5 linked regions of the Ovis aries genome follow. The protein of the gene in region 1 interacts with the protein of each later gene in a biochemical or structural test. Links are inferred from orthologs where the notes say so. Each region holds a gene or a part of one and is shown in the gene's direction. Other genes may lie near its edges. The genes, in order: RARA, TRIM24, NCOA6, NRIP1 and TADA3.

Region 1 (3,513 bases):
TCTGCCTGTGCTTCTGACTGTGGCCGCCTGGCATGGCCAGCAACAGCAGCTCCTGCCCAACACCTGGGGGAGGGCACCTCAATGGGTACCCGGTGCCCCCCTACGCCTTCTTCTTCCCCCCCATGCTGGGTGGACTCTCCCCCCCAGGCGCTCTGACCACTCTCCAGCACCAGCTTCCAGTGAGCGGCTATAGCACGCCATCCCCAGCCAGTAAGTGGGGTCGGGGAGTGTTGTGGGAGGGGGCTGTGGAGGGCGGCAGGCCCAAGGCTGGGCCTCTGGGCACATCTCTTCCTCAGCGGCCAGGTCTCCTCCAGACGGGGGGGACCTGCTGGACAAGCGGGCTTGAGGATGAAAGGCCAGTAGGCTAATCGCCGTGGTTGTGTTTTTTGTTGGGAGGTGGCACGGAGTGTGGAGAGCTGAGACAATGCTGTCCTCTGGCCCCTCGCGCCCCCTCATGTGCTCTGCCGTTGAGGGCCTTATAAATAGCTCCAAGCACTGGACAAGGAGGCTGGAGTTGGGTAAACAAACCTCTCGACATTTGGTGGGGATGGCTGGTCTGCTGAGAACAGCACCCCACCTCCAGCCCACCCCATCCAGTGCCTCTGAGAGAAGGGACTGGAGTAGCACCCCCTCCCCTCACTGCTGGCCAGGCGGGGTGGTGCTTCCCTTTGTGGGGAGGGCGCCGGGGCAGGAGAGGGCCCCACAGGCAGCCTGGGGATGGGGGGAGAGTCCGGGAGGGGACACAGGCCTGGACTCTGGCTGTGGCCGCAGGCCTGCTCTTGGCAGGGCCTGTGTTTTCTCTCCGCCTCCGCCGTCTGCCATGGGGGGTCGCCTGTTGGCTGGGTGGGGGTCTCGGTACCCTTCCCTGGCTGGCCGAGCCAGGTAGTGGGAGGTGGCGGCACTGAGGCCAGCTGGCAGAGTCCAGGCCTCGGTCCTGCCAGGCGGCTTACAGTAACTCTGGCCCCCAGGGCCCAGCTGGGCGCCAGGCCAGGGTTTGGGGGAGGAGGGAGCCGGGGCCTGGCCTGGGGCAGGAGGGGGTGGAAGCCGTAGAAGGGGGCCATGGACGGCGGACTGGCCTGGCCGGTCAGCTGTTGACCTGGGAAACGTGTCCCACCTCTCCTGGCAGGCAGGGACTGAACAGCCTGCCCTGGGCACCCACCGCCTCTCCCATGCCACTGGCAAGCTGCCTGGCACCGCTGCCCTGTGCGCCTGGCTGGGCTGGGTCAGTGCCCCCTTCCCAGCTTGGGGGTAGCGCACTCTCCCCGGAGCCAGGGAGTCTCTTTGTCCCTGGGGCAGGCCCTGGCTGGGCGCCTCACTGCCCGCACTGGCCGGCTGCCCACCGCCACCACTGCTTCCTGGCTCGCCTCCTCTGGCTTGCTCGGTGGCCCCCTCCCTCTCCAGCCCCACCAGCCGCTGAGAGCAGGGGCTCTAAGTCTGTGTTCCTTTCGGTCCCTACCCTCTGTGCCCCGGGGAAGGGGGCAGGCGGATGCTGCCTCCTCAAACCTCACCTTCTGTTTCCTCCCATGGAGGGGGCACAGCGGGCAGCATCATGACCTGGGAGTCAGAATGATTCTGGCCTGGTCTTCAGTCTGTGCTCGGTGATGGGAGAGGCCAATCTCTGAGTTAGGGGATGCTGGAGAAGGGGCAAGTGGGTCTGGGGTGCCTGGGATCTGTGTGGGAACTGGAGTTCACATCCCAGTTCCAGGAACTAGAGTGTCTTGCTTCCCGCCAGGGTGGGGTTTTTAGGGAGGGAGAAACCGAGAGCGCTCAGCCTGGTGCTGGTGGACAGCTTGCTCTTCCCCAGGTGATTGGGAACAGGGCCCTGGACGCTGTCCCCCTGGGGCCTGGCTCACGGAGGGCTGGCCTGACCCCTGTCTTGTGCCGGACAAGCGAGTGTTTTGCTCTCCTTTTCGAATGTTGCAAGCTTCTTCCTCTTTCTTCGAGGTGGGTGGGGAGGGTTTCCGGGTACCCCACCTCCTACCCTGGTAACCTTCTTCCCCCAGGGTGGGGTGCCCACATTTCTGGTTAAGCAATGCCCCTTCCTGCCCCCCTCCCTCTGTGAGCCAGTGGGTTTCCCTGCCTCTTCCTAGTAAACAACAACACCTCTTTTTACCCAGACCCCCAGCTTCTGAGCTTCTCCCTGACCTTCCTTCCCCTTAGGTCAGGAACCTCCCCATCCACCCTGAGGGAGCCAGGCATCTCCCTCTTTCTCGTGGAAGGCTGTGGGACCTGGTAACCCTGGCTTTCAGCTCTGCGTAGTGCAGCATGACAAATCAAAGTTCAGACCTGGAGGCAGCCTCACTCCCCCCACCTGAGGGCCAGTGCTGGGGGCCAGGCATTTCCCAGGAGGGTGGACAGCTGTGGCCCCCATCCCCACCAGGAGTGATTATATGTTCTGGTCCCCTGCCACCCATTCTGCAGGCAGCCTGGCACAGGAGGCCCCCTCCTCCCACTTGCCGCCAACAAAGGTGTTGTCCATCCTTCCATCCCTCTCGCCAAGCTGGGGTGGGGGGAGGCTGGACCCTGGGTGTGCTTCAGAGACTCAGTGGCCTGTGGAAGGACAGAACTGTTCTCTAGGTCAGTGGCGACGGGTGGGTATTTGTCCTGCTGTTATCTCTCTCTCCCGGGAAGCCAGAGTGGGAAGTTCCAGGGATGGTACGAGATCTCCCCCTCCAAACCAGTCCTGGAGGTTTGGTCTCTTGAGGACTGGTATTTACTGTGGAGGCTTGGGATTCTGTGTGCCTTGTGGGGAGGGTGATGGTTGTGTGTGTTTTGGGAGGGAGGTGAGGGTTGGGTGTGTTTTAGGGGTGGGGAGGTCAAGGTTGGGTGTGTGCTGGGGAGGGGGTCAATGGCTTAAAAGTATTGGGTGAGAGGGTCAGAGTGTGTTTGAGGAGAATCAGATCCAGAGTCGGGAGGGGTATCAATGTGTTTGTGTGCTGCAGGGGGAGGTGACTTAGGGCACTGAATGTGTAAGGGGGAGGGGTCTGTGATTGTGTTGTGTGTTTGGAGGGGGAAGGGTCTCTATTTCTTATCGCTAGTCTAGGCTGGAGAGGAAACGCACCTGCCTTTTTTTATTGCTTGCCCTGGGAATTCCATGAGGTAGGAGGGGTTGCTGTGGAGTAGGCTGTGTAGCTTGAGTTCTGGCTTTGCCATTTACTAAGTGTGACAACCTCTCCGAGCGTGTTTCCTCGTCTGTAAAACAGGGATCTAAGCAGAACCTCCCTCAGACGGCTGAGGTTAGGCAAGATCGCCGACGTAATGCACTCTGCTCCTGGTCTTGCATGCGCTCATGGCTGTCTCGTGGTACCCGGGTGTTATGACGGGAAGAGGATCGTGACCCTTTTCTGGGTGGGAGCTGGAGAGAATGGGATGCTAACATCTGTGGAGCGCCCACTGTGTGCCTGGGACCTTATCTCTGTTTTACAAATCTGAATCCCGACAATCTGGGAGAGGGACATTATCTCCCTTTACACCTGAGGAAACAGCGCTGGTGGTTACGTGGCTGAGCTGAGT
Region 2 (4,283 bases), on another chromosome or scaffold:
CCGAGAGGACCACGCCGACCAAGTACCACATGATACGCCGTGGCCACTGGCTTCCTCCATCTATTGGAGCCTCAGGCTTCCCTTCCTGCTAGGTATCCTGCCCACTATGCCAACTGTTTCGCTGATCACTGAATCCAGGGTAGGCAAGGTGCGAGCAACAAAGCTGGAAGAAAATGCGAGAAGCCATAGGAACTGCAGACATGCTTTATTTGCAGCGGCTGACGCAGCAGCAAGGGATGTTTCAGGTGGGCTTAATATTGGTATACAGAAATAAAGGTGGCAATTTGACAAGCTATTGCATCACAATGCACGTGTGCATTGTTATAGATTATCTCAGTTGTTACATAACCATGCAAAGTTGTTTTTCACACAAAGTAGGGCAAGAGAGCCTGACTACCACCATCTTGGCTACTTACTATTTCTCTAACACAACAGGATCATTTCCATTTTAACAAAGCCTATTCTGACCCCATCCTACTCTCTGCAAAGATGCAGCATCACTTCATGTATTCTTTAAAATGGCACTTCCACAATCATATGTGTACAGAGGCTCGTTTCCCCTACCCTATTTCTATACTTTTGTAAAGCTTGGCCATTTTTAAAGTGAAAATATTGTAACTTCTGATCAAAGTTTGTTTGCGGAGGGGTGGTGAGGGTTTGGAGAAATGAAAAAGAATATTTTAGAATTATTTGGATATCAGTATTGACATTTATTTCCATTTCTTGTAATGATGCCATATTTATGCAATAAAACACTCAGTCTTCGTTAATCCCTTGAAGAACAAATCAGTTTTATTCACCTAAAAAGCAAATCACTTTTATTTAAAAATTAATTTCACCTTTTTCACGAGGAAAACCTTTAAAATTTTCGGACTTTCATAAGAACCTCCCCTCTTATCACAGAGATTAGTAAATCCAGGTGGCAAAATCCATGCTACTTCCACAACATTTTCCCTTTTTGAAAAATTCTTCCCTTTGCTCCCTCACTCGACTTCGTTATTCTGAGACCCTCCCCTCCATATTTACTCCTCCTACAGGACCTCGGTCCGCAGTAGTAAATAGAGAGTTTTTCGAAGCAGTTAATTAACAGCTTTGGATAAACACTGTGAAGCCCCTCCCCATAGGAGGAGCTAGCACAGTTGGACCGAATTATGTGGTCGATCGTTAACAAATAAACGCTTAATCTTTCTACGGGAGCGAAACACACACAAAGGACCAATCAGAGGCCGTGGTTCCCGGAGCTCGAGGGGCGGGGCTGAGCAAGCGCCCTCCCACCTCCCAGCCTCCAGCCGCGGCTGTCTGAGCCTCGCGGGCTTCGGCAGGCCCCGCCCGCCGACCAGACGCGACTCGATAGGAGGGCTCTCTCCCTGCCTTCGCTTCGGTTGCTGGGAGAGGGAGGGCGGCGGCGGGGGCGTGGCCTGAGGTGGGGCTCGCGGGCCCCAGAGAAAGGCAGGGAGGCGAGGGCGGGCTCGGCGGGTTTGACGAGCGCCGCGGCGGTTGGCGAAGCGAACCGGGCGCAGCCTCCCCGATGCGAAGAGCAGTCCCCGCTGACAGATCCTCTTCTTCCGGCCGCGCCACCCGGGAGGCGGATCCCCGGGGCCTGAGGAGGCTTCCTCGGCCCGAGCCTCCGTCCCTCCCTCTCCTGCGGGTCACCGGAGCGGCCTAGGAGGAGGAGGAGAAGGAGGTCTGTCGCGGGCGGCGGCGGGCAGAGAACGCGCTCCCCCTTCCCCGGCGGCGGCGGCGGCGGCGGCGGGGGCAGGACAATGGAGGTGGCTGTGGAGAAGGCGGCGACGGCGGCCGCGGCCGCTTCGGCGGCGGCCGCCGGGGGGCCCTCGGCGGCGCCGAGCGGGGAGAACGAGGCCGAGAGTCGCCAGGGCCCTGACTCGGAGCGCGGAGGCGAGGCGGCCCGGGTCAACCTGTTGGACACTTGCGCCGTGTGCCACCAGAACATCCAGAGCCGGGCGCCCAAGCTGCTGCCTTGCCTGCACTCCTTCTGCCAGCGCTGCCTGCCCGCGCCCCAGCGCTACCTCATGCTGCCCGCGCCCATGCTGGGCTCCGCCGAAACCCCGCCGCCCGTCCCCGCCCCCGGCTCGCCGGTCAGCGGCTCCTCGCCGTTCGCTACCCAAGGTGAGTGGCGGGAGGGTGGGGTGGGGTGAGGAGGCCGGCGCCCCGGGGCGGCGCGGCGACCCGCTGTCACGTCGCCGCCGCCCGGGGTGCTCGGCGGGGGAGGGGCGAGGAGGGTCTGTGCTGGCTGCGGTGACATGCAGGGCTCGCGCGCTCTGCGGCGTCCGCGCGCCCCGCGAGCAACTTCCCCCGGCGCTGTGGACTTGGCCGAGCTGCCGCTCCCACCCCCCCCCCCCCCCCCCCCCCCCCCCCCCCCCCCCCCCCCCCCCCCCCCCCCCCCCCCCCCCCCACCCCCTCCCCACCCCCTCCCCACCCCCCAGCCTCCTCCTCCGGGCTGCGTGGCCCGTGCAACCCGTACTTCTGAAAACCTCTGTTGGAGTGCGCTGTTGTCTATCTCCAGCCCTTTGCCGGCTGCATCTAGTTAACCGCTACCCTCTGCCTCCCCGCAGCTTTGTCCAGGTGATACTAATCATCTCGCCTGTACCCACGTTATTTGAGCTGGCGAGGGGAAGGGAGGGATGAAGATGAGGTGGTGGGGACTTTTCTTTGGTTACATATCGGATTCTGTTTTTTGTTTTGTCTTGCATGTTTTGGGTTATTTACCTTAATGAGCCATCAGTTCTCTCCAATGGGGACAAAGGAACTAAGAGACGGTGTTTCGTGGTGCTTCTTTTTGGGAGATTTTGTTTCTAGACGGTAAATGGTAAAGACAAATAGGAAAAAGTGATTTGGAGTGCAGCATTTTCTTGGGTTTTGTGGACAGCAGCTGGAAATGTTGAAGTTACTGTTGTCTTTGTGGTGTTTGTTACCGTATAATGAGACTTTTGACAGGTAGGTCCCATTGCTAATGTTAACAGGTTTTGAAACACAAAGTTGAAGTAAGCACAGTAAATTGCTTGTGGTAGAATAATTGAGGTTTTAAACGTTTACGTGGCGAATATTTGAGCAACTCTCTTTAAAAAAAAGACTAACCGGAAATAATTCGGTTTTACATATACTGCCTTTTTAAAAGGGACTAGTGGATGTAGGTAGAGAAAAATTGGTAATTAAATAATTGAGCGAGGTCAAAGAACACATGAAATCGATGCTTTTAAATAGGTTGCCGTGTTAGACTCTTGATTTATTTATATGTTAGAAACAGTGTCTAGTTGAGAGACAGTTTTCCATGGATCTGGCTGTTTCTGCAGAGCTTGCCAGGGGAGGTACTGACTGCCTGCCCTTTGTTTCTGTTTTTAAAGGATGTTTGTAGAAGGAAAAGCCTTGGATGGTAGAGACAGTGTCTACCATCAGAGCAAAGAGGAACCATGCATATGGTACAATGGTAACAGATCAGTGTCTCCTGGGGTAGAAGGCAGGCATGCTTATTGCCCATCATAAAAGATTAGGGTTCCCTAAACTTGGGCTTCCTCTCCTGCAACACAGCCCATTGCTTGCGTTGCTTAAGCATGTGTCAACTGACCCTCTTCACCTTGCCAGGTGAGAACCTGGGGCTCTGGGAACCAGTGCGCTAAAGTGTTGATGCTTTGGCTTATGTTATTACTGGAAGTAATAATAAATTGCCCTTTGTCTCCGATTCACCAGTCTCATGCCTTCTCCCAGCTTCCATGGTAAGCTAATACTTTGTTAGTTTGCAAGTAGGGTAGAAATCTCAGATCCTTCACCCTAATTTGCTCTTGACATGGCCCACCTGTTGGAAAGTTAGTACAGGTGAAACTTAAATTTTCGTTCTTAATTTTTAGACACATTTAAGGGTTTCTTTTATTTATATTTTAAATGTTTAAAACAACCAGAAGCCAATTAGGATCTGAATTCTGCATAATTCTAGAATTAAAGATGTATTGTGTTCCAGGGCATGACATTTAGATCTGAATGAATGAGAACATGAGTAATAAAAGCTCTGATCCTCAATTCTGAGGCAAGTTTGCAATTATAAAGTTCTCAAACTGTTGCAGTCTCCAGATATGTTTTATCTTTGTTTGTATTGTAAGCCAGAGTTCAGGAAAGCTTTTAAATTGTAAGGTAATGTTTTCGTTTTTTTTATACTGAGGAAGGTGTCTTACCAACGATACTTCCACATATATCTCTAAAAGTTAGGATTATCTTCAATAAATTAAAAATACTATGTTGAGTCTTAATATCTTGAATATTTTCTCCCTTCC
Region 3 (3,513 bases), on another chromosome or scaffold:
TGAACCACCTTTATTCTTGGTCCTTTCTGCTGATTATGTAAGGTTTTGGTTCTAAAATGCAAATAAAATCTTCACAAAAGAAGGAATCATTTGAGATGTCGCCTTCTAGGAATCTATAAGGCATTGTCCTCAGACTTCTTTTCCCAAAGTTATTTTTTATTCCTGAGGGCTATGCTTCTTGGCTCACTTATTCTCCACTTATGGATTCAAAGACAGTATTTCTCCAAATACAGTTTGACATGTAAAAAAGTAAATGGAAATTAGCATTTGTAAAAAGAACTTCAGTGCCCTCATTTTATTTTCAGTGTGTGTATCAGCTTCTATTTAGCTCCTACTATTTATTAAACTGACTTACGTTGGAGAGACAGTTTAATTCACTGGGTTTCCCAAAGAAGCGAGCCTGGAGGGTGCAGCATGGTGTGTGAAGTCAATGGATTGAAGTGATTTTAAATCCTTCTTTCTTAAGGAATTGAACCCTAGAACTTTATATTTTACTTCTGTTGAAGGAATAAAAAGGCTATCTTCAATGCTGGTATTTTCAACAAAACCAAGTCTTTAAAAAAATTAATCTGTGCTAAAAGAAAAAAAGTGAATCTTAAATGCTTCATTCACAAATCCAGTGAAATGTTCATTATGCCTGCATGAGAGCCCAGTACTGGGTGGTCATCCGTGTGCTGTTGATGGAGTTGTCCTCATTTCATCTGAATGTGAGGCTGGCATAGACTTGGCCAGTTTCAGTGCATAGCGCAGTGCCTGTTAGAGTCTTAGTACAGTGATGCCTCATGCAAACCCTGAAGACTGAGGAGCTCCAGGTTCTCGATGCTTTGCTTTTTGCTTCCTGAAGCAGCGTGCCTCTTTGCTTATGCCAGAGAAGGAAGGGCCGCCCCTTACCCCCCTGGAAACGGGCATGCCTGAGCTATTTGTGCCACCTAGATGAGGATTGCTTGGCCATACCCTAAAGGTCACAAAGCTTTTCTTGCTGAAAGTCTAACTTCCCTGATTTTGGGGGCTCGTTTTAGGTTATCCTTCTCAACCAGTTGAACAGAGGCCACTTCAGCAGCTGCCTCCTCAGCTCGTGCAGCATGTGGCACCCCCAGCACAGCCGCCACCGCAGCAGCCGCAGCCACCTCCCAGCCAGCCGCAGTCTCAGCAGCAGCAGCAGCAGCAGCAGCAGCAGCAGATGATGATGATGCTCATGCTGCAGCAGGACCCCAAGCCCGCCAGGCTTCCGGTCCCCCAGAGTGCCCACCCCCCCAGGGGCCCGCTGACCCCGGACGCCCAGAGAGTGCCCGCGCAGCCGAGCGGCGGCGTGCCTGTCATGGTCAGCCTGCAAGGCCCTGCCTCAGTGCCCCCGTCACCTGACAAGCAGAGAATGCCAATGCCTGTGACTACTCCTCTGGGAAGCACTTCAAGGAAAATGATGTACCAGGAGAACCCCCAGAACCCTGCCAGCTCACCACTGGGGGAGATGTCCTCGCTCCCAGAAGCAAGTGGCAGTGAAGGACCGTCCGTCTCAGGAGGCCCAAATAATATGCCTCCACATTTAGTGGTCTCCCAGAATCAGTTAATGATGACAGGGCCAAAACCTGGACCATCACCGCTTTCAGCAACTCAAGGTGCAACTCCCCAGCAACCTCCTGTAAATTCCCTGCCCAGCTCTCATGGCCACCACTTTCCAAATGTGGCTGCTCCCACCCAAACATCTAGGCCTAAAACACCCAACAGAGCCAGCCCCAGACCCTATTATCCCCAGACACCCAACAACCGCCCTCCTAGCACGGAACCTTCAGAAATCAGTCTATCACCGGAAAGACTCAATGCCTCCATAGCAGGACTCTTCCCCCCACAGATTAATATTCCTTTACCTCCCAGGCCAAATTTAAACAGGGGCTTTGATCAACAGGGCCTAAATCCGACAACTTTGAAGGCCATCGGGCAAGCACCTTCAAACCTTACCATGAATAATCCTTCCAATTTTGCTGCCCCACAGACTCACAAATTAGATTCTGTGGTGGTGAATTCTGGAAAGCAGTCTAATTCTGGAGCACCAAAACGGGCAAGTCCAAGCAACAGCCGCAGGTCTAGTCCTGGGTCAAGTAGGAAAACCACCCCAAGTCCTGGGAGACAGAATTCGAAAGCCCCTAAACTTACACTTGCCTCTCAAACAAATGCAACGTTGTTGCAAAATGTAGAGCTGCCAAGAAATGTATTGGTTAGTCCTACTCCTTTGGCCAATCCGCCTGTACCTGGGAGCTTCCCTAACAACAGTGGGCTGAATCCTCAGAATCCTACCATGCCTGTGGCCACGATAGGGGGTGTTCTGGAGGATAACAAGGAGAGCTTGAATATGCCACAGGACAGTGATTGCCAGAATTCCCAGGTTAGGAAGGAGCAGATAAACATTGAGCTAAAAGCAGTCCCTCCCCAAGAAGTGAAAATGGTTGTCCCTGAAGATCAATGCAAAAAGGATGGGCAGCCTTTGGATCCTAACAAACCTCCCAATGTCGAAGAGAACAAAAATTTGGTGTCTCCTGCTATGAGGGAAGCACCAACATCGCTAAGTCAACTTCTTGACAACTCTGGAGCTCCTAACGTGACTATTAAACCCCCCGGGCTTACAGATCTGGAAGTAACACCTCCAGGAGTGTCTGGAGAGGACCCAAAAAAAGCATCTGTCATTCCCTCCCTGCAGGATCCGTCTTCTAAAGAACCCTCCAGTTCCCTAAATTTACCTCACAGTAACGAGCCGTGTTCAACCCTTGTGCATCCAGAATTGAGTGAGGTCAGTTCTAATGTCACCCCAAGCATCCCTCAAGTAATGTCAAGACCTGTCAGCTCTTCCTCCATTTCCACTCCTTTGCCCCCAAATCAGATAACTGTTTTCGTGACTTCCAATCCCATTACAACTTCAGCGAACACATCAGCAGCTCTGCCAACTCACCTGCAGTCTGCATTAATGTCAACAGTTGTCACAATGCCCAATGTGGGTAACAAGGTTATGGTTTCTGAGGGACAGTCAGCTGCTCAGTCAAATGCCCGGCCTCAGTTCATTACGCCTGTCTTTATCAATTCATCCTCAATAATTCAGGTTATGAAAGGATCACAGCCAAGCACAATTCCTGCAGCCCCGCTGACAACCAACTCTGGCTTGATGCCTCCCTCTGTTGCAGTCGTTGGCCCTTTACACATACCTCAGAATATAAAATTTTCTTCTGCTCCTGTGCTGCCTAATGCCCCCACCAGTAGTCCTGCTCCAAACATACAGACAGGTCGACCCTTGGTCCTTAACTCAAGAGCCACCCCTGTTCAGCTTCCTTCCCCGCCTTGTACAACTTCTCCAGTTGTTCCTCCTCACCCCCCTGTCCAGCAAGTAAAAGAACTGAATCCAGATGAGACTAGCCCTCAGGTGAGCACCTCAGCAGATCAAAGCACTCTGCCCTCTTCACAGACAACCACAGTGGTTTCTCCCCTTTTGACCAATAGTCCAGGCTCCTCTGTCAACCGGCGAAGCCC
Region 4 (4,282 bases), on another chromosome or scaffold:
GTTCCTTACATGGCACTATTTTGTTTTACTTTAGACTGAATGGTGACAAATGAGGCTATCTGGAATCTCAGTCTGCACCAGACTAGCAGTTGCCAATCAGAAGAGGAGGATAATGTTAGAGACAGGAACCCTGGCAAAAGAGAGAAAAGATTGTTAGTTAGGGAAGGGGGAGAGAGAGCAACTATGAAAGACAGAGATGATCACTGGATCATAGTATCCTGGAGTCCTTCAGGGAGAGGACTGATGGCTTCTATTCATCCTGGGAGCATCCCTGACTCCTAGGAAGGAGCTTGATAGAGAACAGGAAATTGATGTAGTCCTTAAATTCATTATAACCTACTATCAAAATTAACTCTGAATTTTCAAGAAAAAGCCAAAAAATGGCTTAAGAAAATAGAAACATTTATAATACGTTTTCAGAAAATCTTTGTACAACAGTTTTAAAGAAAATTAGTTTGATTCCTTAAAGGGTCACACTCCAATAATGCTGCCTATCACTTAATTCAAACAGTTGGCTCTGAATCAATCCTGGATAAATGTTGTCATGCAGAACAGTGGACTTTACTAAGCTGCCTTGAACAGATTTCAAATGGTGGTAGATACAAATAATAAGCTCTCATATGAGGTTTAAATATATAAGATGGCAACAGATCGCACAGTTGAAATCACTAGGGTGATGTAAAATAATTGTTCTAAAATGCACTATCACCATGAAGAAAAATCTTCCTGCCATGTGCCCAGCACTGTGCTAGGTGCTGTATTATTAAGCATTCTTCTGAAATATCGCTTTCCCTTTTAAGACTGTGAAGGTGTTCCCGAATCCTCATTCATATTTTTAAAGGTTAAATGACATTTTACACGCACAACACAACCATTACATAACAGGCATAGAATACTGTTCTATGACTTGGATAGTTTTGTGTTTTTTTTTTAAGTGCACTAGCAACTTTATTTTAAAATGCTGTCGAATCCTTAAGGATCTGAAAACCTACACATAGGAATGGAGTGTCTTATCCACTCACTTGTTTTGTGTAATAAGTGTTTAAACACAGGCATGCCATTTCGGAGTTTACAGTGAGCCTAAGCTGTACTTCAGCGTTTTTGCAGCAAGCAAAAACAATTTCTGCAACGGTCCTCATTTCCCCTGGCAATTTTTTTTTTTTTCTTTTTCTTTTTCATGGCGAGTTACTAAATGCTAGATGCTAGAGTCAAAAAGAAACCTGACATCTGGGGAGGTGTTGCGGGGGTGTTAATAGTTCTAGCTTGATGTTTGGGGAGAGCCTTGAGGATAAGATTTTAAAACAGCAAATACACGGAGAAGGGGGAAATGATGGTTTCGGATGACTCTCTCCTCCCTCCACTTTCTCTCTTCACCAATCCGTATCCCCCCCAATTTAGAGGCGGGTTCAGGGAGATCAGGCTGCAGGAAACCAGGAGGCTCTCCGGGGCTGCCGCCCCGGCCTCGTGATGTAATTGTTATTTCTTACTCGGAGCCTGAACCGGCGGAGAGCTGCCCGAGAAGTGGCAGCTGGGTGCCTTCTGCCTTGTCTTGGAGGGTCAGGTTCGGTCCGAGGACGGTGTCGATTCGAGGAACGGCTCCGCTGGAGACTTCGCAGTGACAAAGCAGCAGAAGATAAACCCTGCTCCCGTCCGAGGAGCTGAACCCGGCGCTCCTCAGGTCTCCTTCCCAGTTTTCTTCTCGGACTCACCCGCCGATTATCCCTGGGTGCCTTCTACGTGCAGGGCGCGGGATCAGAGGGACCCGCAGTTAGCCCCCCCCACCCCCGGCCAGACTAAAGCAAGACACACAGATTACAAGGTGGTGGAAGTTGGGGGGGGTGGGCGAGAGGGAGCCCAGGAGACACGGGTCGTGGGGTGAAGTGGGAGGAGAAGGAAGCCTAAGATGCCGGCACCCAGGAAGGGACCCGGGGCGTCCCGACCCCCAGGCTGAGCCCCCTTCGCGGGCTTTTGGCCTGGGTCACGAGAGTGGTCCCCACCCCCCCGGGAGCCCCAGGAGGAGCTGTCCCGGCGCCTTCGGCGGCGGTGGGGGCTGCTGGACAGAGCTGGGAGCCGCGGGGAAGGGCTCGGGGCGCCTGGAGCACCCACCTCTCCCGGCCGCCGCGCTCTTCCAGCTGCCTCGGGGCGCCCGCAGCCCCCGCCCGGCCGGCCGGAGGGCGGGCGAGGAGGAAAACCAGCCAACCGAGGGGGCCCCGCAGTTCCCGCGAGCCTCCGGGACCCGAGCGCGTGCCTGCCGCCCCGGTGACAATGGAAGAGAGGGGGAAAAAAGGGTTAAGAAACTTGGCTGAAGAGCTGAATGGCGTGGAGCGGCGAGGGGAGGGACTGGGCCGCGGCCGCCTCGGCGGCGGAGGGAGGAGCGCGGCTGCGGGCGGGCGGGCGGGCAGGCAGGCGGCGAGCGAGGCGCTCAAAGTCAGCCTCGCAGACATTGCAGCAGAGCCCCGAACTCGGGAGGCGGCGGCGGCGGCGGAGGAGGAGGCGGCGCGGCGGCGGCGGCCGAGGCGGAGGGACGACCCGGCCCCGCGCTCGCCCGCGCGCCCGCCCGTGGCCTCGCGGCGGCCGCTGCGCCCGGCAGCGCTGCCGATCGCAGGGAAGAGCTCGCCGGGGCGCCGAGGGAGGACGGGGCGGCGGGGCGCCTTCGCGGAGTGAGCTGGCCGGAGCCCCGGCGCTCGGAGCTGCGGCGGCCTCGGGTGAGTGGCGGCCGCGGCCGGGGGGCTCGGACGAGCGGCCGCCGCCGCCGGAAATGGCCGGGAGCGCGGCCCGCGGCGGCGTTGGCTTGGCGTTGGCGGGCAGGGCCTCGGGGGGCGTCGGGGCGGCGGGGGGCCCGCGCTGCGGGGCGGCGGGAGCGGACGCGGACGGCGGGGTGAGCTCGGCGGAGGGGGACGGCTTCCGGGCAAATCCCGCCTCTCCTGCCGGCTCCGAACCTGCCCGGGAACTCGGGGGGCCCGGGCAGCGGGGCCGGCAAGTTGTGGAGTTGGCCCGGGGGCTCACCGGCGCGTTCTTGGCCGTCCTGGGCCGGGGACGGGAGGGCGGCCGCCGTGTTGCCCCGGACCCGGGCCGGGGTCGCGCCCCCGCTCGGCTGTCCTCCTCGGCCCGGAGCCCCGGGCGCTTCTCGTCGCGCCGTTCTCAGTCCTGCTGCCCCGGGCGTCCTGGGCGGCGCCGGGCGCAGCTCCCCCCGCCTCTCGCCCGGGTGCCTCCCTGCTCTGAGCTGGCCGGATCCCGGACTGGGGAAAGTGGGTAGGCAAGGGGACCGCGCTCCCGGCCCCTAGCCGACCCTCGGGTCCAGCCAGGCCCGTTGGTACGTGTCCTTCCCCTCCCGAGGGCGAGGCCCCTGGGACCCGAGGCCTCAACCATCACTTTTCTCCGGAGCCAGAAAACCGGGCTCACCTCTAGAGTGAACCCCGTGCAGGTCCTGGGAGGCTTCGTTTTTCTCTCCTACATCTATGTGTCCTCTTCTACTACTAGCGGATATTGTCTTATGAAGGGTTTCCCGGGAAATATTCTGCAAACCGTCACAACCCTTCCAAAGTAGTTTTCCAAATTTTAATCAAGAGTTGCTGTTCCGTCTGGAGGAACAAAGGAATCAACTATGTCTTAGAGGCGAACAGTCTGCGAGTCTGTGACACATGTTGATCTCTGAAGTATTATAGGAGTTTTTACCTTCTATCTCGTTATTGAATTGAGTTTTGAAGATAGTAGACGGACAACAGAAGTACTTTTGTGTTTAAAAAAAAAATTTCAATAAGGCGTTTTTATGTTGAAAAAGAAGTAATACGTTCTTAGCCACAGGGACTTTTCACTCAGTTGGTGGAACTGAGTTGGAGTTTGTCTCCGGTAATATAAATGATTAAATGTGAAATTGTGCGGGGCGGGGGAGGGGTTGGGGAGGGGGTACTGTTCTTAGAGGAACAGAGTCCATAGGATGAAAGTGAAAAATGGTTGTGGAGTTACAGATGATGGTTGTTTTTTACGTTTGGTGAGGGAGTGATTTGTGAAGCAGAGGGCTCTGGTAATTCATTCTTTAAAGTTATGAATTGCATTGAACCTGCTTATTAGAGAATCATGACTTTAGCAAGTGGGTGGCATCTTCCCGATGTGATTCTTCAATGCTTAATCACTAGTTTGCCACCTTTGTTGTTGAAGACACAGTGAGATAAGTGGACTTTTTAAACAAATGGTGCTTCCTCTGCCTGGCACCAAAGTGTGGGTTGCTGCCTGGAGTATGTTGAAATGTTTTCAGCTTTGAAGTAAGTTGCTCTGGTTTTGC
Region 5 (3,513 bases), on another chromosome or scaffold:
CGACCCAATTGATGTGCCACGTATCCCCAAGAATGACGCCCCCAACAGGTTCTGGGCCCGGGAACATAGATGGGCCTTGGGATTTGGGCACTGGAGGCTGTGGAGAGGCCTGGGGCTGAGGCTGGTGGGGCAGGGGGCAGGGGGCACCCCCTCAGGCTCTGCTTCTCCCTGCAGATTCTGGGCTTCGGTGGAGCCATACTGTGCTGATATCACCAGTGAGGAAGTGCGCACACTAGAGGAGCTACTGAAACCCCCAGAAGATGAGGCTGAACATTACAAGGTGAAGACCCCAGGCATGATGAGACAAGATGGAAACATCTTGGACATGATGGAGAACAAGAGGGCTCAGAGATGCCTCACAATTAACAGAGCTATATATCATCTTCCTTTTTCTCTCTCCCCAGCCTCCTGACAGTTCCATTAACTCACTTAGACGCCCAGGTTCTAGCTTTCAGCTTCCTCCCTTCTACCCTGCCACATCCTAAGGCATCTTCTTCAGTGCAGTCCTCCCTTTGTCTCTGTCATCCCCTTTGCTTTGGCTCAAAAATTCATCAGCTTTTCCCTTTACAGCCTCTTAACACTTGCTTGCCTCTAGAGGGATTCTCTTCTCTGCTTTTTTAATTGGATGCACCAGGTAGCATGTGGGATCTTAGTTCCCTGACCAGGGATCAATCCTGCACCCCTTGCAGTAGAAGTGAGCAGTCTTCACCACTGAACCGCCATGGAAGTTCCTCTCTCTCTTTTTTTTGTAATGTATAGAAGTTTTTTTATTTTTAGTTTTTATGATGAAAATAAAAGAGGTTCCGTTAAAGAAAATGTACAAAATACAGAAAAATGTTGGAGGGGAATTCTCCCATAGGTTCGCTATCATGATCAGAGGTGCTTATAACAGCCTTGTGTGGCTCCCATTGCCCACAGACTCAGGTCCAAGCTTCAGTCCTTGGTAGCACAGTGTCCTTGGCCACACCACCTCTTTACTGCTATTATTTGCCAGCCCCACCAAGCACCTTACCCTCACTCCAAGCTCACACAAGGTCCTTTCTGGTCTCTGGGCCTCTGTACATGCCAATCTCCCCTTGGCAAACTAACACCCTTCGAGTCCCTTACTGCACGTTACCTGCACCAAAATGGTTTTGCAGGTTTTCCAGCAGAAGGTTGGTCTGTCTGTTGCACTGCCACAACACCTTAACCTACTCTGTCACTCCACTTGTCTGAGTTTTTAAAAAACTTATTTGAAAAGGTAATCTATATGGGCAGTCACAAGTTCAAGCAGTGCATAAGCTATTTCTCTCATTTCTGACCTGAAGGCCTGTAGTTCTTTCGAGAGATAATAGCTCTCAACTGATATTGTCTGTGTACACACACCATTCTGCACGTTACATCATGGAAATTTTCCTGTATTGCCTTCTGTGTGTTTTAGTTGTTTATGTACCTGGCTTCTCTACTAAACTGTGAGTGTAGAGATTTTTCTCTCCTGTATCTCTTCTCACCTGAGCCTCAGGCCTCAACCCTGGACTAGATACTTGGGAGACATAAATGAAGGAAGGAGGGTGAGCGAAGAGCCTGTTGGCACTTCCAAGTGCACAAAGAGACCCTGCCACACCCCAGGCATTGCTGGCTGTATTTATCTCTTTGGGGCTGGGTGGGATGTCTCCCACAGATCCCGCCCCTAGGGAAGCACTACTCCCAGCGCTGGGCACAGGAGGACCTGCTGGAGGAGCAGAAGGACGGGGCCCGGGCAGCAGCTGTGGCTGACAAGAAGAAAGGCCTCTTGGGGCCCCTGACCGAACTGGACACTAAAGGTAAGTCCCTCACCTCCCTGCCCACCCCAGGCTAGGACTTGAGTTCCCAGAACTTCAGCCCACGAGTCTACCATGTGTCTGCCCAATTCAGATGTGGATGCCCTGCTGAAGAAGTCTGAGGCCCAGCATGAGCAGCCAGAAGACGGGTGTCCCTTTGGTGCCCTGACACAGCGTCTGCTGCAGGCCTTGGTGGAGGTGAGTACCCCCAATGCAAAACAGAAACCACTATCATTCTGTTTCAATGTTTGTTTATTGAAGTATATATTTAGAAAGGTACATAGGTCATAAATGTACAGCTTGATCGATTTTCACAAATGAGCAGCCTTGTACAACTAGTCCCAAGATCACAAAATAAAACATCATCAGTATCCTTGAAGGCCCTCTCATGCCCCTCCCAGTGTTTAACCTCCCCCACCTCCAGGGTAGCCACTATTCCACAGTTACTTTTGTGGAGCATTAGTGAAAGGCCCTGTGCAAAGGGCTTTCTACACATCCTCTTGTTAAAGGCAGATAGTGGTTAACCCCACATTACACCAAACAAGGTTGAGGCTCAAAAAAGGGAACTGTTTGCTTGACATCACACAGCTAACAAGCGGAAGCAGGCTTCAAACACCAGGTTCAGGTGCCCTTTCTTTATGCCCACTGGCTATCCCAAGCCATGTTTCTTCACCTATGAGCCTCAGTTTTCCCTCTGGCTCAAACACAATAGCCTCTTTCTCTCCCATGTAGCATTCTGGGCACATGTTCCAGATCAGTGGAGGCTGGGGGAGATCTCTGTTCCACACCATCAGACAGGGACCCCAGGTTTGCTGGCTTTTTAATTGTTTAAAAAAATGTATATATGTATTTTTGGCTGTGCTGGGTCTTCGTTACTGCTTAGGTTTTTCTCTAGTTGTGGCGATCAGGGGCTACTCTCTAGTTGGGGTGCTTGGGCTTGTAATTGCAGTGGCTTCTTTTGTTGTGGAGCAGGGGCTCTGGGGCGCACAGGCTCAGTAGTTGCAGCTCCCGGGCTCTAGAGCATAGGCTCAGTAGTTGTGGTGCCCAGGCTTAGTTGCTCTGCGGCATGTGGGATCTTCCTGGTTCAGGAATCAAACCTGTGTCTCCTGCATTCCACTGAGCCACCAGGGAAGCCCACTTTGCTGTTGTAAACATGCGCTCTGCACAGGATCACTCCAAATGTGACTGGCACTCCAGCCCACAGAAAAAGAGCAAGGAGGAGTGTGTGAAGATCCCGCTGGCTATGGCTCTTATCTCTTCTAATCACTTTCCATTGGAGAGTATTTGTCACATGACCACCCCGACTACAGGGGAGGCTGGGAAGTGGGGTTCATCTGGGCAGCCATTAGCCCAGCTCCTGTGGAGGAAAGGCGAGAATGGCTTTCGGACAGCCAGCAACCTCTGCTATGGTACAGCCCCTGTGCTCAGTACCGTGTGCCTAGCACAGCCCCTGGTGCACTGCAAATGCTTAACGAGCCCTAGTTCTTCTCATTACTGCTATTGAATGTTACCATCACTCTTCTGTGCTCCCTTTTGTATCAGTACAAAAACAAGAATTTATAAAATGATCAAAGCTTTTTGGAGCCAGTTTGGGAAAACTTCCCAGAGTGGGTGGAATGCGAAGAAGAAAAGATTTCTGGTATGTGAAGACTGTCCATGTAGGTCAGAGGGAAGCAGGAAATGGTAATACTACATCTCTTTCTTCCTCTGACCA

The links.
Region 2: the proteins of RARA (region 1) and TRIM24 form a complex in vitro, tested with the Homo sapiens proteins (3 studies listed by BioGRID). The link is inferred for Ovis aries from reciprocal best matches to the Homo sapiens genes RARA and TRIM24.
Region 3: the proteins of RARA (region 1) and NCOA6 form a complex in vitro, tested with the Homo sapiens proteins (3 studies listed by BioGRID). The link is inferred for Ovis aries from reciprocal best matches to the Homo sapiens genes RARA and NCOA6.
Region 4: the proteins of RARA (region 1) and NRIP1 form a complex in vitro, tested with the Homo sapiens proteins (4 studies listed by BioGRID). The link is inferred for Ovis aries from reciprocal best matches to the Homo sapiens genes RARA and NRIP1.
Region 5: the proteins of RARA (region 1) and TADA3 form a complex in vitro, tested with the Homo sapiens proteins (2 studies listed by BioGRID). The link is inferred for Ovis aries from reciprocal best matches to the Homo sapiens genes RARA and TADA3.

Annotation. Positions count from the first base shown.
Region 1 is NC_056064.1:40,323,668-40,327,180, forward strand, and holds part of RARA (retinoic acid receptor alpha), read left to right. Parts: 5' UTR 1-32; coding exon 33-210; intron 211-3,513. UniProt on the Homo sapiens protein: Receptor for retinoic acid. Retinoic acid receptors bind as heterodimers to their target response elements in response to their ligands, all-trans or 9-cis retinoic acid, and regulate gene expression in various biological processes.
Region 2 is NC_056057.1:103,605,850-103,610,132, forward strand, and holds the start of TRIM24 (transcription intermediary factor 1-alpha), read left to right. Parts: upstream 1-1,474; 5' UTR 1,475-1,763; coding exon 1,764-2,127; intron 2,128-4,283. UniProt on the Homo sapiens protein: Transcriptional coactivator that interacts with numerous nuclear receptors and coactivators and modulates the transcription of target genes.
Region 3 is NC_056066.1:64,069,395-64,072,907, reverse strand, and holds part of NCOA6 (nuclear receptor coactivator 6), read left to right. Parts: intron 1-1,019; coding exon 1,020-3,513. UniProt on the Homo sapiens protein: Nuclear receptor coactivator that directly binds nuclear receptors and stimulates the transcriptional activities in a hormone-dependent fashion. Coactivates expression in an agonist- and AF2-dependent manner.
Region 4 is NC_056054.1:142,920,681-142,924,962, forward strand, and holds the start of NRIP1 (nuclear receptor-interacting protein 1), read left to right. Parts: upstream 1-1,478; 5' UTR 1,479-1,819; exon of another isoform or gene 1,820-2,161; intron 2,162-2,438; exon of another isoform or gene 2,439-2,705; intron 2,706-4,282. UniProt on the Homo sapiens protein: Modulates transcriptional activation by steroid receptors such as NR3C1, NR3C2 and ESR1. Also modulates transcriptional repression by nuclear hormone receptors.
Region 5 is NC_056072.1:16,898,771-16,902,283, forward strand, and holds part of TADA3 (transcriptional adapter 3), read left to right. Parts: coding exon 1-48; intron 49-174; coding exon 175-280; intron 281-1,660; coding exon 1,661-1,802; intron 1,803-1,893; coding exon 1,894-1,997; intron 1,998-2,033; exon of another isoform or gene 2,034-2,531; coding exon 2,532-2,606; exon of another isoform or gene 2,607-3,513. UniProt on the Homo sapiens protein: Functions as a component of the PCAF complex. The PCAF complex is capable of efficiently acetylating histones in a nucleosomal context. The PCAF complex could be considered as the human version of the yeast SAGA complex.